Ovis aries: one gene and its partner. The protein of the gene in region 1 interacts with the protein of each later gene in a pairwise test. Links are inferred from orthologs where the notes say so. Each region holds a gene or a part of one and is shown in the gene's direction. Other genes may lie near its edges.

Region 1 (8,651 bases):
GTTGAATGGGAGCTTTAAATACAATAAACCAAAAACCCTCACAATTAATTAAACCCTCAAAAGCTGAAAATCTGAAGACACTGTCTTGGTTGGTTTTGCTTATTTCCCCTGCCACCTCCACCCCCCAACCCCAGCCCTCTTGGTTGAAGTTTTGAAGATGGACACCCAGGGCCAGTCTTCTGGGAATTTGAAAAGATGGGCAGCACACTGAGAGGACAAAGACCCATTGCAACTTGAAACTTTCCGGGCCCCATCTTCTAAACCTCTGCATGGGGTATCTCATCTGTCTCTAGAAAAAGAAACTTCAGTTTTCCACAGCCAGATTTCTAGGCTGGAAAACTGGGGGCTGGTCATCTGTGCTTCCTCCCTGGGGGTCTCACCTCTCTGCCTGTCCTCTGCAGAAGAGTTGCAGCAACTGCGGGAACGCTACCACTTCCTGAACGAGGAGTACCGGGCCCTGCAGGAGAGCAACAGCAGCCTCACAGGGCAGCTTGCAGATCTGGAGAGTGAGAGGTACAGCCCACAGGCTCACAGGGCTCTTTAGGACAGGGCTATTCCCTGAGTAGGACCGGAGAAGGCAGATGTCAGGCTCCCCTGCCTTCCTCCACTGTGGGAGAGCTGGTCCTTCCCATGGTATCTGAAGGGTTTGAATACTGCTGAGAAGCAGGTATGGGGATCCAACCAGATGTCTCAGGACTAGAGCTGGGCAAGTTCTGAAATTTCATTTTCTTCCACTCCAGGCAGTTAGGTCTGGTTGGCTCTGCTCTGGAGCAGAGGAGAAGCAATTCCTTTGTTGTCCTCCCAGACTTGATCCAGTCAAAGGACGCATTGCCTCCAAACTGGAGCTGGTTTGACTCCAGTCCCAGCCTGGAGCCTGACTGGACTAGTACCCTTAGGGTCTCCCAGAACCAGACATGCCTTTGCAGGTTGAGATGCTGGGGACTTTTTCTGTCATCCTTCAAGTGTATTTGAGAGGTAAATCACAAGAGAAGTCTCCTTAACTGTCTTTTGCCTAAAATGAAGGCATCAGGACCAGGCATACTTCGCAGGTGGTGCTGGGCAGAGCATTCTCCCAAACGTGGCTCTGGGGTTCTGAATTACAGGACACGAAGAGCAACAGAAAGATGGCTGGAGTCCCAAACGCTACGGACTATGAGGTCAGCAGAGTCTCAGACCTCAGAAGAGGATTTCCTGGAGCCCGATCCTGGAATGCATTTGTTGCGGCAGCAGCTACTGGGAGCCAAGGAGCAGATGCATGACATGCAGAGCAAGGTAGGGAAAGGCCAGCTCCTTCACTGCCTCTCTCTTACCTTCTCCTGGCCTGTGTCAGCAGCATCTCCTTAGACACAAGGCTAACCAGGGAGACAGGTGCTATGGCAAGAGATCAGACTCTGGGGTCTCACTTGTGTGCCTTTCATGGAATGTTCCAGTAAAAGGACTGCCATACTCTGCCTAGGTCCATTCCTGGAGTGCATATGGTCCCTGTAGTAATTCAGGCTTCCTGTTCCATTTCCCACACAGTGTAAGAAATTGACTTGTGAGTTGCAAGAGCTACATCACCATCGCCGGACCAGTGAGGAGGAGCAGAAGCGGCTGCAGAGGGAGCTAAAGTGTGCACAGAATGAGGTGCTTCGGTTTCAGACGTCCCACAGCGTCACCCAGGTAAACACGGATAGGGCCGGGCACCAGGGGAGGGCAGAAGGGCCTGATTGGAGTTGCCACTTCCAGGGAGGATGAAGGCAGAGGCGGGCTGCGCTCTACTGATTCTTGGCCTGCAGCCAGGGATATGGTCAACTGGAGAGCAAGTGGAGAAGTCACACAGCATTGCATTCTAGAATGGTAGTCATGATGGAGCGTCCGCTGCAGAGAAGAAACTAAACCCTAATGCCCAGGGGAGCTCCTCAAAATGTCCGCTCGGCAAAAAGAACCACTCTGGTGTGGAGAGGGGTCTGCTGATTTCTGAGAGTAACCACTCTTCCCACATCCTCCCCACCACAGAACGAGGAGCTGAAGACCAGACTCTGTGCCCTGCAGCAAAAGTACGATGCTAGCCAGGATGAGCAGAGTGAGCTCTTGAAGGTGCAGCTACAACTTCAGGCTGAGCTCCGGCAGCTCAAAGTCATGAAAAGCACAGTAGAAAGCCAGAGTGAGAAGGTAACAGCAACCCAAGATGAGGGGCTGCTTAGGTGCCAGGAGGTTTGGGCAGGGTGGGGAGAAAAGTAGAGCATTGAAATAGCTCCAGCTGCTACCTATATGGCACCGCAGGTCCAGGACTCCAGCTGCCCTCAAGTCCCCCATTGGACCAGAGGGCAGCCTGTAAGCGCAGGGCAGGGACCAGTGGATTCTCAGACTGTCTATGTCTGAGGGCGACTCCAGCAGAAGAGTGAGTGGGTGGAGGACTGCAGAGGCACTGCCCCAGGCCCCCTCCACTGCAGGAGCTACAGTGCCAGCTACAGAAGCTGCAGCTGCAGTGCCACAGCATCTCATGTGAGAAGAACAAGCTGCTGGACGTGCAGCAGCACCTGCGGGACACTCTGCGCTGCCACGAGGCTGAGGTGCAGCACCTCAGGGGTGTTGTGACCACCTACCAGGAGAGCAGCGAGAAGGTAAAACAGGCTTCAGGCGAGGGAGAAGGTAGCCCGGCAGACCCTCCCGTGAGAGGCTGGGTCCGCAGGAGAAAGGAATGGTAGTTCTGTGGAGGAGCTGTTGGTGAGGAGACTTTCTACCCTACTATTAGAACCATAATCACATCCTGTCATTCATGAAGAACATATATGTAGGTCCATATGCGCAACTATGACTGTGCTCAGTGGAAAGGTGACCTCAGAGGGTCACAACATGCTCGGCTTCCTGTGATGTCAAGTCCGAAAGGACTGTAGAAAGGAGGCCCTTTCCCTTCCCTGCCTCCCCAGAGAGGAAGCCCCCAGTGTCTGTGGAGAGCCTGTTAGGGATTGGTCCATCTCAGGGAGTCCCACCCCAGACCTGGAAAGGACAGGGTAAGACCCCTTAGCCCCTGCCTGAGAGGAGAGAGTGTGGCCATGTGGCTCTGGGGATAATGGCGGGGTGTGCCTCCCCACCCCAGAGTGCAGAGGTCCACGCCCAGCTGCAGGAGACGAAGCGGCTGTACCAGTGCAGCCAGGAAACGCTGGACCGGCAGAAGCACATGTATGACCAGCTGGAGCAGGACTTCCTACTCTGCCAGCAGGAGCTGCAGCAGCTCAGGAGCACCCAGTCCATCCTAGAGGACAAGGGGAAGTGTGCTAATAAGGTAATTGTAACTAAGACAGGTGAGGTCTCCTGAGCCTTGGAGAGAGGAAGTAGAGGGGCAAGAGATGAAGTCATGCAAACGAGAGGCTTGATGGACCTCCTGTCCCGTCACAGCTGAGTGTGGAAAGGCAGGGAACAGAGGCAGAACCCATGCTGTTAACATTAAGACTTTGACTTGACCTTCACTTTAAGCCTGAGCTACAGATTAGTAGAATCAATACATCTGGGTCCAGTCTGAACACCTGAAGATTTTACACATGACTCCATGAGAGTAGACTTTATACTTTATTATTAGAACTATAGTGATATCCTGTCATTTGTGGAGGAGAACATACATGTAGGCCCATATACACAACTATGACTGTTAGAACTAGAAAGAGAAGGTCCAGTTTTCTGAGGCAGATTGTAGGTGCTCTTGTCAGAAGGCATGGTTGGTGCCCTGAGCGCTGATTGGTTATTAGAAGAACCTAGGCTTTTCCAGGATTTATTCCATGACTTCAGAGTAGTTAAATTCTCAACTCGAATCTTACCCTTTTTAAATTGAGCAGAATACTTCTTACCTCACTTTGTTTTAGTGAAAAATCCTGATGATGAATAAGGCCTTCCTTCCTTCCTTTCCCTTTTCTCCATAGTGTGTAAAAGGCAAGTCATTATTGGTTAGCTTTATTGAGTACTTTCAGCTCCTGATCACTGACAGGAAATGGAAAAATGCCAACACATGATGCAAAATACTGCTTGAATACTCATTCGCTCCTGCTGCAGCATGCTGTGTCTCCAGGGGAAGGCCTTCCGAAGACACAGCGCTGGAGATGGTTTTTGGGCTGCCCTAGTAGTCCACCTGCCTTTCTACACCCAGGCTCACTTTCTCTCCTCCCGCCACACCGACTGCATTGAGAGGTCCAAGGGGTCCATATCCTGCTCATCACTTCCTCTACTAGGGGAGGGGACCATAGGAAGGGAGAAGGATGCTGGCACACAGAGCCGGTCTTTTCTCTAGTCCTAAAAGAGCATTGAGACTAGTCTAATATTAGAAGATTGGGTTTTTGGAATCATAGGATACTTTAGTCTTCTCAACCCCAGCTCAGCAATAGTTCATACTTCTCTAAAGATTCTTGAAGCTGATGATGAACACAAAAATGGGGGAAAATTAGGGTGAAAATACATCGTTATTGGTAAGGAACATAATCAGTTATAGAAACAACTGGAGAACTAGAATTCCCAGCACGGTGGGAAAATGGTCTTCACCAGAGGAAAGAAGCAGGAGGGAGGTAAGAAGGGAGGGGCATTGCCAACACTCTCTTGAAAACCACCCTCAGAGAGGACTAGTAGGCAAAATATCCAGCATGGCCAAACTTCAGCCCTGAGCGGCCTGCTGGGGTTCCCGTTCAGCATCTAGGCCTCTAGAGGGCACAGTGGAGCTTGGGGTGATTAGTCTAAGGTGACCACAGGGCAGGAGACTCTGGTGAATCACAGGACAGAACACAGGCGTGGTCCGCTGACCGCCCTGTGTGCCCTGCCCCGTCCACAGTGTGACGCGCTGCTCTTCAGACTGACAGAATTGCAGGAGAGTTACAAGGCCAGCCAGAAGGAGATGGCGCAGATGCAGATGGAGCAGTGCGAGCTCCTGGAGGAACAGAGGAGGATGCAGGAGGAGCAGGGCCAGCTACAAGAAGAGCTGCACAGGCTCACGTTCCCGCTCCCCAAGTCTGGTCTCTTCCACAAGGTAATGGCGGCCAGGGCGGCCGTCAGCTGTGAGGCCCTTCCCGGATGTGAGCGACCTGAGGAGAAGTGAAAGGGAGCAAATGGAACTTTGTCTTAACTCCTCACTTTCTCGCCAGTCTCCTCTCACAAAACTGCTCACAATAGCCGATTAGGGCTTTAAATCTTGAAATACATCCTCAACTCTGGAATCTGTCCAACGTTTTAGACATTTAGTCCATCTGGAGAAAATGTCCTTGAAATCACTTTATAAAAAGCAAAAGACATCCACCCACAGGAGGTCTTTACTCCTCCACTAGCAGGTCTGTGTAGAAAGACTCCCCTCCTGTCCCAGGTGGGCTGAGCAAAGCCAACTCCTTTGAGGGAAGGGTCCCCAGAGGGAAGGAGGCAGAGGTCTTTCCGTGTAACCATCACAGTGCCGCCCACTTCCTTCCGCTCCACCTCACAGAGTCAGGAGCTCCTCACAAAGTTACAGGACCTGTGTGAAGTGCAGATGCTCTACCAAGGCATGCAGGAGGAGCAGAAGAAACTGATACAGAACCAAGAGAACATAGTAAAAGAACAGTTAGAACTGCAAGGAGCCCTGCACCATTTCAAGGAGTCCAGCTTCCGGGAAGTGTTGGAGAATCCCGAGGATCCCAAATGGCCTAAGTCCTCAAAGTGTGGTCACAACAAGGTAACCATAGCAAGAGGTAGGGAGACAGTTCTGGGGGTAGCAGCATGCTAGGGAAAGGGGCTCCATAGCAGGGTCTGAGTTCCGAAGGCCAGGAGCAGAGAGGAAGCTAAAGCCCACTCATGGGCTCCTTAGTTAGGGCTGGCCTGAGCTGCTCCTCTGGATGGATGCCCAGCTGAAGCACTGTGATGACCAGGAAGTCTGTGATCTCCTGATCCTTTGAACTCAGTCTCTTTAATACCTCATTTTCCAGATGTAGTTGGAGGTAGATCAACCTAGTGTTTGGGTTCTTTAGGACTGACTCTAAACATGTCTTTTCCTCATGAGCTGGTTGATAATTGAGATGTTCGCTTTCCAGTGATCCAAATCTGTAACCTTTTGGTGTTCTACATGAGGCATATCTGGGGCCATTTGTTTCCAAGACAGAAATTCCCAGCATATGGGGTTCTTGGTACTGACCTCACTGTCTTCATTGGATTGGAACTTTGCAGCAGTAACAGCCAGGTCAGAGGCATTAGACTAGAGAATCCATGTGTCTCAAGCACCAGTGAGTGGTCAGGCCTCTGAGGTCATACTGGTGGAAATTTCTAAACAAGTGTGTTCAGGATTGGGAGATGCATTTGGTCTGAGGCCTCAGTGTAGGCAAGGAAGAGCAGGAAGACAGTTTCCATTTAAGTGAGATTGATTTGTCCAGATATTAGCCTAGACAGGCAGAGGTGCATGGAGCAGCAGAAGTCCAAACTGTGCAATTTGGTTGATCAGGTTCCAGGGGCATCCGATTTCAGCCTGGATAACAGAGACCAGGAACCAGACCAGGAAATAGCAAATATTTCCTTAACAGATCAGATCTCATCCTGGGCATCAGCTGCCAAGGAGCCAGGCCCAGAGGGCCCAGGAAGCATGCCAGAAGCCAGATTTGGAATTGAGGCAGGAGAGGGACTCATAGTGAGACCCTGATTGGAAGTCTGCATCTTCCAAGGGAGGAGTTCTTTGTACGCTCATGTTCGTGGCCAGGGGTGATTTTAGAATTGGGGGTGGAGGAGGGGACTGAGCCCCATAGATCAGGATAATAGGTCCACCTGACTAAGAAGAGAGAAGGGAGGCTGAGTGACCTTGAGACCCACTCAGTGCTACTCCAGGGAGAGAGGAGGTTACCAGAGCATAGAAGCCAGGGGAAGTGAGAGCCCAGAAATTGCAGAGTGTCTGCCCTAGGAAATTTTCTCCAGTGAGTAAGAAATTGAATCATGCCAGGTACCTGCAGGCTAAGTGGAAGTCCTGGGCCACGGTGAGCTGGGAGGGCCAGGTGTGCCATTCCTTGACCTGGGATCTCAGACATCCTCACCAGGAGGGGTTCCGCTGGAAGGATCGCAGCGTCTGAAGTAACGCTGGTGTCTCCCCACCCACTCCCGCCAGTCCAAGATGATCATCGCCCAGATGCAGGCCCTGCAGGAGCTGTACGAGGCCAGTGAGACCGAGCAGGAGCTGCTCCAGCAGGAGCAGGAGCGGCTTCTGGAGGAGCGGAAGAGGCTGCAGGCCGACCTGCAGCTCTGTCTGGAAGAAATGCAGCTGCTCCAAGACCAGTCCCCTGCAATCAAGATGAGCCTGGACTCCTACAGGAAGAGTTACGCGAGCACGACCACCAGCAACGAGAACTGCCACAAGAGCTGCAACCTCAATGACGATGAGGGCTACCAGAAGAGCTACGGCAGCAGCCAGGCCAGTGAAGAGAGCCTCCTCAAGAGCTACGAAAGCAGCACAGATGCCAGCGAGTCCTGTCAGCGGAGCTACCTCAGCAGCAGCAGCAGCAGCTCCGACACCTATAAGAGGAGCTATGGCAGCAGCAGCAGCAGCTCCGTCACCTGTCACAAGAGTTACGTCAGCAGCAGCATGGACGACGAGCTGGCCGAGCCTGGAGATGTGGAGGTAAAGGCAGTCAGGTGTCCGGTCAGACAGGGGACAATGGTTCTTGTCTCATTAGGAGAGGCCACGGGGAAGGGCCCGAGAGGTGAAGTGGGCAGCGGGCTCAGAGCTGAGCTGGGTGACCGTCAGGAAATGAATGAGGTGCTCTCCCCACTTCCTATGGAGATGCAGTTCCATCTGGACGGAAGTCTAAGATTCTGGACTTTTCATCAACACAGTCATGTGCTCTTCATGGGAAGAAATCCAGTGTTCTCCCCCTGGGCAGCTTCAGATCCTATCGGCCAGTGTTTTGTACCCATGAGAAAAAAGGGCCCAGCGAAGAGAGCGGGTGGAGGGCAGGGGCTCCTCAGGGTGCCCTCCTCACTCCTCGCCCTCCACAGCACCTTGAGGACGTGGTCGCCAAGGTGCTGATCAAGCTGCAGGGTGTGCAGGCCATGTACCAGCTCAGCCAGGAAGAGCACAAGCTGCTGCAGCAGCGGATGAAGAAGCTGCTGGATGAGCAGAAAGAGCTCAAGGAGGAGCTGGACGCCTGCGAGAAGGAATTCAAGGAGTGCATGGAAGGCCTTGAGAAGCCCGTCGCCTCCCAAAACGACAAGGACAAGAATGAGGTAACTGCTTTCAGCGAGGCAGGGCTTCTCATAGGTGTCCCCAGAACCCAAGGAGGTTGGAGTCCTTTCAGAGAGGCTGAGGGTGAGACGGGAGCTCACTGCTGACTCTGTTCAGGTGCCATCCTCCTGGTGGAGGGACGGAGTAGGGGCTGAACTCCAGGCAGCAGGGCAGTCTGCTGGGCCTCTGACAGGCATTTCTCAGGTGCCCGCTATTCTGGAATTTACTGATCATCAAGACCCCTTGAAATGATTTTTTTCCCGTCTGCCATTTTGTTCTCTCTTTTGTCCTAGAGCACTTCTGTAGAGTTGCATTTTCTTACCTGCCAATTTTCTTTAGTTAGTTTGTGTATATTCCACTTTGTCTCTTTAACTAGATTGTAAGCCCCTCAAGGACAGGGCCAGGTCTTTTGGATTTCTCATAATACCAAGCAGAGTGCTCTGCATCCCTAAGAATGGGATAGAGG
Region 2 (9,231 bases), on another chromosome or scaffold:
CACATCTGGTTCCCAAGTGTTATCCTTTCTTATGGATCTCTCAATTTCTCTTTTTGGTACATACCATAAATATAAATAATTCCTTCTGCTATCATCTGCTTCTTGTTTCTCTTTCAGATTAAGACCATGACTCCAGAAGGATAGAAATGGTGCCCAGCACCATACCTGCCAGACAGGAGGTGTTTGATCCATGTCTGTCCAATAAATGAACGGATAGGTCAAATGGGTTCCGTCTTTGACTCAATTACTAAAATGTCAGAGGTTACACTTCTTATCACTGTTATCACCCCATCCATCCCCCCCCTCTTCACACCTTTCCCTAAAGGCAAAGAATAAAATGCATTCGTGTCCACATCATGGGACAAGAAAGCTATCTATATGTGTCCAGACAGACCAAGATGGTTACAGAGCTCAAACTAAACTTTGATGTAGGCAGCGCCTCCATGTGATCGCTGGGAATCTTTGTTTTTCTGTTCATCGTGTTTAGTCGCTAAGTCATGTCAGAGACTTTTGCGACCCTACGGACAGTTGCCCGCCAGGCTGCTCTGCCCATGGGATTTCCCAGGCACGAATACTGGAGTGGGGTGCCATTCGCTTCTCCAGGGCATCTTCCCAGCTCGGGGACCAAACTGTGTCTTCTGCACTGGCAGGCGGAAATTGCCAAGCCACCAGGGAAGCCCTCTGTTCACCTATAAATGCCCAAATTCAATACTCACAGGCTGTATCTCTGTCCCTCCAGAGTGACTCTCACCCTCTCCTCCTGCTCTGTGCCCTGACAGGCTGACTGCCTGACCGGCTCCCTTTCCTTCCTTGCCTTCTGGCGCTGGAAGCGAGAGACTCCAGTAGGAGATGGGGAGGGAGGAGGGGAGAGAGGGCAGGGTCTTTATCCTCCTCTTCCTAAACACAGGCTGGATCTGGCAACTCAATTTTACCACACAGGATGTGGCGGCTGAAGGGATGCTCTGGGACTTTCAAGGCTAGGTCACGAAACGATACAACTTCCACCTGGCTTTCCTTCTCTTGTGTTGCCTGCCCTGGCGCGGCCAGCTGCCAGGTTGGGCATATCAAACTCAAGTCAACCTAGGTAGTGCGGAACTGAGGCATCCCGCCAACAACCAGCACTCACCTGCCAGTCACGTGTGAGTGAGCCTCCTTGGAAACAAGAGCCTTCAGCCCCAGTCAAACCTTCAAAGGAACGCAGCCCCAGTCAACATGTCGACTACAATCTTATGGAGACCCTGAGCCAGAAAGCCTACTAAAGCCGTCCTTGGGTTCCTGACCCACAAAAATTGTGTGAGCTAATAAGTGTTTCTTGTTTTAAGTCGCTACGTGTGTGCGTACTGTCACTTCAGTCATGTCCATCTCTGTCACCCCATGTCAGCCCATGTCACCCCACATCACCCCATGTCAGTCCATGAGGATTCTCCAGGCAGGAATACTGGAGTGGGTTGCCATGCCCTCTTCCAGGGGATCTTCGTAACCCAGGGATCGAACCCACATCTCCTGCACTGGCAGGCAGGTTCTTTACCACTAGCGCCACCTGGGAAGCCCTTAAGCCATTACATTTGGGGAGATAATTTGTTACACAGCAACAGAGAACTACAACACCTGGTAAGAAGAGTCCCCAGTTACCATTCTTCCTGGAACCCTCTTCCTCTGCATCCTTCAGGTTTCCACTCAGATGTTACTTCTCACAGCCTTCCCTAAACCCTCTTTACCCATCCCCCTGTCGTAGTTTATTTTTCATCCTGGCACATATTATCTCCTGAAAGTTGTAAGAGTGTTAGTCACTCAGTTGTGTCTGACTACAACTCCACGGAGTGTAGCCCACCAGGCTCCTCTGTCCATGGGATTCTCCAGGCCAGAATACTGGAGTGGTAGCCATTCCCTTCTCCAGGGGATCTTCCTGACCCAGGGATCGAACCCAGGGATCGAACCCAGGTCTCCCGCATTGCGGGCAGATTCTTTACTGTCTGAGCCACCAGGGAAACTGCCTACCCATCACATATTTGTTTCTTCTATCTCCCCCACTAGAATGCTAGCTCTGTAGGGCAGGGATCTTTGTTTTCTGTGATGCTGTGTCCATGGTGCATGGAACAGTGCCTGGCACAGAGCAAGCTCTCACTATGGTGATCATTAGGATGAGAAGCTAACAGACATGAATTGTGTTGGGGCTTGATCAGATTCCCACCTGTTCCCTGCCTGTTCTGTGCTCACCGTGACCAGGGATGGGACATAGCTGTGACCTCCCCCTCCACTGGGTAAGTAGTAGTTGGGAACTATAAGGAGAGAGCCCCTCCATGCCTCCCCGCTTCTCTGGGATAAAATCCTAGGTCCTCTCAGCAGTCTTCAACCTTTTCTGCACCAGAAACCATTTTCCTGGAAGACAGTTTTTCCACAGACGGCGTGGGGGGTGGGGGGATGGTTTCGGGATGATTCGAGTGCATTACATTTAGTGTGCGATCTATTTCGATTATTATTGCATCAGCTCCACCTCAAATCATCAGGCATCAGATCCCAGAGGTTAGGGACCACTGCTCTGTGACGCCTACAGCCCCTCATTCCTGCCTGAAACCCCACCACTCAGCCACAAAGAACCATGAACTGTTTACACTCGTTAATAGAGTAGGCTCCAGGGAGGAATGCCTAGACTCCACAAACAAAACTTTGGAGTTCGAGTAGAAAACATTAGAACATTTATATTTTTAATCATTGGGGATCTTCCCCACCCAGGAATTGAACCCCCGTCTCTGGAGTCTCCTGCATTGGCAGGCAAATTCTTTACTACTAGCGCCACCTGGGAAGCCCAACGAATATCATTATGTAACAAATACATTATTATAAAATGATCTACAGAATCTGATCTTTCTCTAGTAGCTCAGTTGGGAAAGAATCTGCCCGCAGTGCAGGAGACCTGGGTTCGATTTCTGGGTCGGGAAGATCCCATGGAGAAGGAAATGGCAACCCACTCCAGTATTCTTGCCTGGAAAATCTCATGGACAGAGGAGCCTGGCAGTCCATGGGGTCGCAAGAGTCGGACACGAATTAGCGACTAAACCACCACCACAGAATCTGAGTATTTGTATATAATTCATACTGTATTTGTATATAATTCATAAACAAACACTCTTCGAGGAATTGAGCTTCCACATCTTTACTGATGGAGGTTAAACAATTTGAGGGGTGTCATTTATCCTAACACAATTTTGCCACCCCCAGGGAACATTTGGCAACGTCTGGAGACATTTTCAGTTACCACGACTGGGGCAAGAGTGCCACAGGCATCTAGCGGATTGAAGCCAGGGATGCTGCTAAATATCCTACAATGCACAGGGCAGGCCTCCAGAATCACCCAGCCCTAAATGCCAATAGCGTTGAGGTTGAGAAGCCCTGGCTTAAAGCGCTAGTCACTTTTTTCTGGGGTCTTTGCACCCAAAGCTGTTCCATCCCGCACTCCGATCTTCTGACTGCTGAGACCTCGGTCTTCCGGACTCCTCCAAGAAGCCATTTTTTTCTTTTTTTAAAGAAACCATTTCTGATGCCGCCAGGCAGGGCTCTTCCAGCCCCCTCGCCCACCCCCCACCCCCCATGCTGGGTTAAAATCGTCCTGATCCCTCGGGGTTCTCAATCTTCCGTTTTTCAGCGCAAATTCCCTGGAACCCCTAGACAGACCGATTCTGCAAGACTGTGAGGAACCAGGAATCCGTATTTTTAACGAGCATCTTCTCCCCACCACAACTGCCTGCTTCTTAATATCTTGCACATAGTAGGTGGCCCAGTGACTAGTTGAATGTCTACAGCATGGCAGGCGCTACTAAATACTCGACCTGGGGATCTCGAATCCTGCACCTGCGCGCGCGCGCGCACAGGCATGAGCGCGCGCGAGCACACACACCCGTCCCCAGGATGTAGCCACTATCATCATCCCCACTTTACAGCGAAGTAAACTGAGGTTCAGAGAGAAGACATAGCCGGATAAGACACTCAGAGCGAGACAGGGGTCTAGATCCTCATTAGCGCCTGATTCCGGGTGGAGGGAGGGGACCGAGCGATGAACAGGGGAGCGCGAACAGGCGGGGGCACGGAGACTCGCCGCGGCCTTCAGATGCGGCCCCGCCCCCACGAGGGACGTGAAGACGCGGACCCCGCGCAGCGTGGGGACATGTGACCGACTGCAGAGGCCGCGCCGCTTCCCCCGCCCGAGTTCTGCGCGCTCCGCCGCAGGGTGCAGATCCGGGGCGCCCGCCTGGGTTTGGGGCGCAAGAGCAGAGGCGGAGCCAGGGCGGAGCCAGCCCTCCCCGTCCACCCCCCCGTTCCCAAACGAAAGCGAAACGGAGCGCAGGAAAGGAAGGGCGGAGCCGGCCTGGAGGCCCCGCCCCCTGCCCTGCGCGGCCGGACCGACGGGCGCGCCCAGGTAGGGGGCCGCCGAGCGCGCAGTGCGGACCCTCGCGGGGACCTACGCCGCCACCATGTCTCAAGAAGGTGTGGAGGTAGGAGATGGCTACAACTGGGCCGGTGGCCCGCGAGAGATGCTGAGGAGGAGCTAGGGGCACGGAGCGGGCTTCGCAGTTGCTGGGGACTCCATCCAAGCCCAGACCTTCCCCCCAAGGCTGGCACTCGTCTCCCTCGGAAAGGAGAGTGACCGCCACATGCCCCGGAGCAAAATGCGGCCTCCTCGAGGGAAAGCGGGGGCTGCTGGGTCAAGGGTCAGAGGCCAGGGGTCATCTGGCCGGCCTCATCCCTTAGCCTGGGACGCTCGCCCTAGTCCGCTCCCTCCCCCAGTACTCTGTGGGGACTTTGGCTTTTTCCAGGAAATGCAGTAGAGGGATGGGGGGGGGGGGTGCGAAGGCCAAAACCCGGGGTCAAGTTCGGGCCGTGAAAAAAGGAAGCCTAGGGATGGAGGAAGGGCAATTGCGCTTTTCCTTCCCCCACCGGTCCCCTACCCCAGCTGGAGAAAAGCGTCCGGCGCCTCCGGGAGAAGTTTCATGGAAAGGTATCCTCCAAGAAGGCAGGGACTCTGATGAGGAAATTTGGCAGCGACCACACTGGAGTGGGGCGCTCCATCGTGTATGGTGAGCAGGTGGGGGTCCTGCCTGGTGAGAGTTAAGCTGGGGAGCAGGGAGGGGGTGTGGTCTGTGCTGGGGGCTGGAAGAGGCGATGAGATCATCTCTTTGGGGGGCGGTCTGGATCGGGGTTCTGGGGGCCCTGAAATTCCCACAAAACCTTTCAAGGGGCCTTCACTTACACTTACTCTCCCCACCAGGGGTAAAGCAGAAGGATGGACAGGAACTGAGTAATGATCTGGACACCCAGGTAAACTGCCCCCTCCCCTCAAAACACGTGGTAAGGGAAGGAAGAAGGGAAGGGTCAGGCTCATCCCTGGCAGAGCTCTTTCTGTGCACTGTCCATCCACAACTCATGGTCTAGCCTCATTCACTTACCTCTCAGTTATGGATCTGACCAAGGAGCCTGCAAACCATAGGTGCTCATTACATGCTGATTGTATGAAATGGAGAGAGACAAGAAACTAGGCAGTGAAAAGAATCCGGATTATCATCATTACAGAGGAGCCAAAGAGGTCAGGGAAGGCTTCCTGGAGGAGGTGGTACCACATTCTTCAAGCCTAGGGAGGAGTGATCCCTGGGAAGGGGAGGGGTTGGAGATCTTCCTGGAAGAGAGGGTGACCTGAGCAGAGGAACTTGCAGACAGGTTGGGACGAGTAAGAGATAGGGGAGGAAAGAGGGGCAGGGAAGCCCATGTAAATGAATGACTAAAGCAATGAATGAATGAGAGCCTTTGTATGGCCACTTTGCCCCTTAGATGGCCTTGGTAGCTGGTGCACTGGTTTGCCTGTCTGAAAGGGCCCAGCACAGAGCTGTTAAAGAGTATAATAAAGTATGTTTTATACTTGTAACATTTATATATTTACAGTTATACATATAATGAGTATAATAAAACTAGCAAAGAGTATCATTGATTGAGCACTTTCCCTGCAACAGGACTCCAGGAATTCTGTTGACTTATTGCCACAGGTCCTGTGAGACAAGTCCTATTATTTATCATATCCACTTGACAGATGAGGAAACTGAGACACAGGGTGATGAAGTCACTCACCAGGCTCATGCTGAATGCAGGTGGTGACTGGGATTTGAACCCAGGTCACCTAGAGTCAGAACCTGGACTCCTAGATGTCCTTCATTAGGGAGAGTGGCTTGGCCACGACCCCACAGCTGGAAGTGATGAGGCCAGGATTCCAACCTGTGGCTCTCTGAATCCAGAGCTCAAGCACTTAGCCTAAAGCAGCATAGCCTCAAACAGGTGACCTGTCACAATGCCAGCAAGTGTGTGGCATTTGCCAGCATGAAGGGAGCATGGGGCCCAGGCCTGTTGCCCACACTCACTCAGGGTAATCTCAGGCAAGCCCTCTCAGAGCTCTGGGCCTCAGTTTCCCCATCTGAGCAATGAGGATCACAGGTGTGCCCACCTCTCAGGGTTGCTATGAGGACAACTGAGGTCACACACCCTTGCCCTCAGGAAGTGGAAACTGCTCAATTAACTCCTCTTGAGTTGGGGACACCTTACTCATATGGGGCCAGAACCCTGCCTCCCCATCCAGAAGCCCTGCCCCCAGAAAAGAGGCATGAGCCACCTCCCCAGTTTCTACCCCTGATGTTTCCACCCAGGACCCCCCAGAGGACATGAAGCAGGACCAGGACATCCAGGTGAGTCCAGGGTGTGGGATGGGGAGGTGGAGCGGTGTGCACACCCCTGGGGGTATCCATACGTGAGAAGGAGGGACAGGATAGGGGTTTGGAAGAGAAGAGGACTGACCGCCCTCTTGGCCCCGCCCACCCCATTCTGCAGGCGGTGGCGACATCCCTCCTGCCACTGACAGAAGACAATCTACGCATGTTCCAGCGTGCCCAGGAAGACCTCATCCCTGCCGTGGACCGGCAGTTCGCCTGCTCCTCCTGTGACCATGTCTGGTGGCGCCGCGTGCCCCAGCGGAAAGAGGTGATAACCCAATCCCTGACCTTGGTTCTGTCCCGGCTCTGCTCCCAACCCCCATTCTGTGTCCAAACCAACTGACCTAAGAACATCAGCCTCTGAGACCCCAACCCCGGACACCTGCAGCCTCAGAGATCAACCCCAATCTCAGCCCCAACGCTGACCTACTGAGCTGGACTTTCAACATTCAACTGGAGAAGCTCAACTTACCCTTGAACTCTTGACTATGGCGTTTGACCACTACCACAGAAATCAAGCCTGAACCCCAAATCTGGCTTCTGAACCCCCTGACCAGTGGTGTGCTTCTGATAAACGCCTACCAACCAGGAACGAAGTGCCCCCAGATTTACAGTGTTCGCCAATTTCGATGGTGTAAATCCCAACGTGACCACCATCAGGCTATCGGTGCCCATCTGCTCCGCTCTTCTGTACCCCCAGGTGTCCAGATGCAGGAAATGCCGGAAGCGCTATGATCCCGTGCCCAGTGACAAGATGTGGGGCGTGGCTGAATTCCACTGCCCGAAATGTCGACACAACTTCCGGTGAGGGCACAACTTCCCGAGAGGGTGCTGACCCCACCCCCTCACCCTCGGCCCCGCCCCAGCCCCGCCCCGCCCCTCCCTGCCCTGGCCCCATCCTGGCCCAGCTGGCCTTTGGACCCTCACGGCCCTGCCCGCCCCCAGGGGCTGGGCACAGATGGGGTCCCGGTCCCCCTGCTACGGGTGCGGCTTCCCTGTGTATCCGACACGGATCCTCCCTCCGCGCTGGGATCGCGACCCGGATCGCCGCAGTACCCACACCCACTCCTGCTCCGCTGAGGACTGCTACAATCGGAGAGGTGAGCGCCTGCTGCGTCCGCATGGCCTCCCCCTGTTCCAGTCTATGTGGCCTGGACTCCTGGGATTTCCACCTCTGGGGCTTTACCTACCAAGGTGTCTGCTTGCTTCTTGCACCTAACTCCTTAGGTCCTAGTTCTAGAGGCCATTTCATCTCTTACCACATCGGCCCCTCCTTCCACATCTTCCACCGTCCTCCACCTCCTTGCCTCCAGGTCTCTCCTGGAGGGGGGGTCCCTCCTCACACTCACCTCCCGTGGCATCAGCCACCCTCCATGTTCTCACCCATGAGGCTTTGTGGTTTCACCCTGACAACCCACATCCCAGGGTCCTGTGGACTCAGCCCCTGCAGTCTCTCTGTGTTCTTGGCTCCTGTGTGGTCCTCTGTAGTCTCAGGTGATGCCCATGACCGTGGGTCTCCTGTGGCTTCAACGTCTGTGACTTCCACTTCTGCCCTAGAGCCTGTGGCCGCAGCCCCTCCCCTCCCCCAAAGCACCCCGTGGCCTCCAGCCCCAGGAGAGGGCTCAGAACCTCTCCCTCCCCAGAGCCCCATGTGCCTGGGACGTCCTGTGCGCACCCCAAGAGCCGAAAGCAGAACCACCTGCCCAAAGTCCTGCACCCCAGCAACCTCCACATCAGCAGTGGCTCCACTGTGGCTACCTGCCTGAGCCAGGGGGGCCTCCTGGAAGACCTGGACAACCTCATTCTGGAGGACCTGAAGGAGGAGGAGGAAGAGGAGGAGGACGAGGAGGAGGGCGGGCACGGGGAGTGACCCCTGCCAGATGCAGATGAAAACCAGACACGGTCTGTGGCTATTTTGTGTTGTTATAAAATATGAGCTCAAACTGAGATCTCAATGCCCTTGGGGAGCCGTCTGGGTCCAGGATATTGGCAGGGGGATTCCTGGGCACTGTCTACAAAGCCCTGGGGAAGCCCTGCAGATCCACAATGGGAGGAGGTCTGTGGGGCATGGTCTGCATGGAGCCACAAAGGAGGGGTGGCCAGGACAACTTGGGCTCCTGCTGACACACATCCCCTGGGACCTGAGGGACAGATGGACAGAGGGTCACAGCCTCAGGGGCCTAATCAGCATGGCAGCCTTCTTGAGAGAGTAAGCCCCACCACGAAACTCGGCCCAGTAGACCCCATCCTGGTAGCGGCTACGGTAGTGGCCACCACGATGCCACACACCATTGAGGTTGGAGTGGGCACAGGCATGGTACCACCAGCCTCCCCGCTGGTACAGGGCACAGTTACCTGAGGGGAGAGGGGGAAAAAAGCCTTATTTTATTCTTCTCACCAGAATAAAAGCCTCTACCAGCACCTCACTAACACAAGGCTTTTGCCAGGCATACTCTGTCCCCCTACTTCAAAGTAATAGCCTTAG

What was found.
Region 2: the proteins of CCDC136 (region 1) and SHFL interact in binary tests that used the Homo sapiens proteins (3 or more experiments, as listed by UniProt). The two-hybrid records come from large-scale screens. The link is inferred for Ovis aries from reciprocal best matches to the Homo sapiens genes CCDC136 and SHFL.

Annotation. Positions count from the first base shown.
Region 1 is NC_056057.1:94,471,700-94,480,350, forward strand, and holds part of CCDC136 (coiled-coil domain-containing protein 136), read left to right. Parts: intron 1-401; coding exon 402-513; intron 514-1,103; coding exon 1,104-1,272; intron 1,273-1,521; coding exon 1,522-1,662; intron 1,663-1,998; coding exon 1,999-2,154; intron 2,155-2,435; coding exon 2,436-2,606; intron 2,607-3,082; coding exon 3,083-3,268; intron 3,269-4,795; coding exon 4,796-4,990; intron 4,991-5,434; coding exon 5,435-5,662; intron 5,663-7,072; coding exon 7,073-7,582; intron 7,583-7,959; coding exon 7,960-8,187; intron 8,188-8,651. UniProt on the Homo sapiens protein: May play a role in acrosome formation in spermatogenesis and in fertilization.
Region 2 is NC_056058.1:12,500,625-12,509,855, forward strand, and holds SHFL (shiftless antiviral inhibitor of ribosomal frameshifting protein), read left to right. Parts: upstream 1-4,381; 5' UTR 4,382-4,469; coding exon 4,470-4,490; intron 4,491-4,948; coding exon 4,949-5,072; intron 5,073-5,263; coding exon 5,264-5,313; intron 5,314-6,683; coding exon 6,684-6,722; intron 6,723-6,864; coding exon 6,865-7,014; intron 7,015-7,446; coding exon 7,447-7,550; intron 7,551-7,691; coding exon 7,692-7,846; intron 7,847-8,303; coding exon of another isoform or gene 8,304-8,389; coding exon 8,390-8,616; 3' UTR 8,617-8,693; downstream 8,694-9,231. Other genes in the region: ANGPTL6 (angiopoietin-related protein 6), read right to left, coding at 8,911-9,101.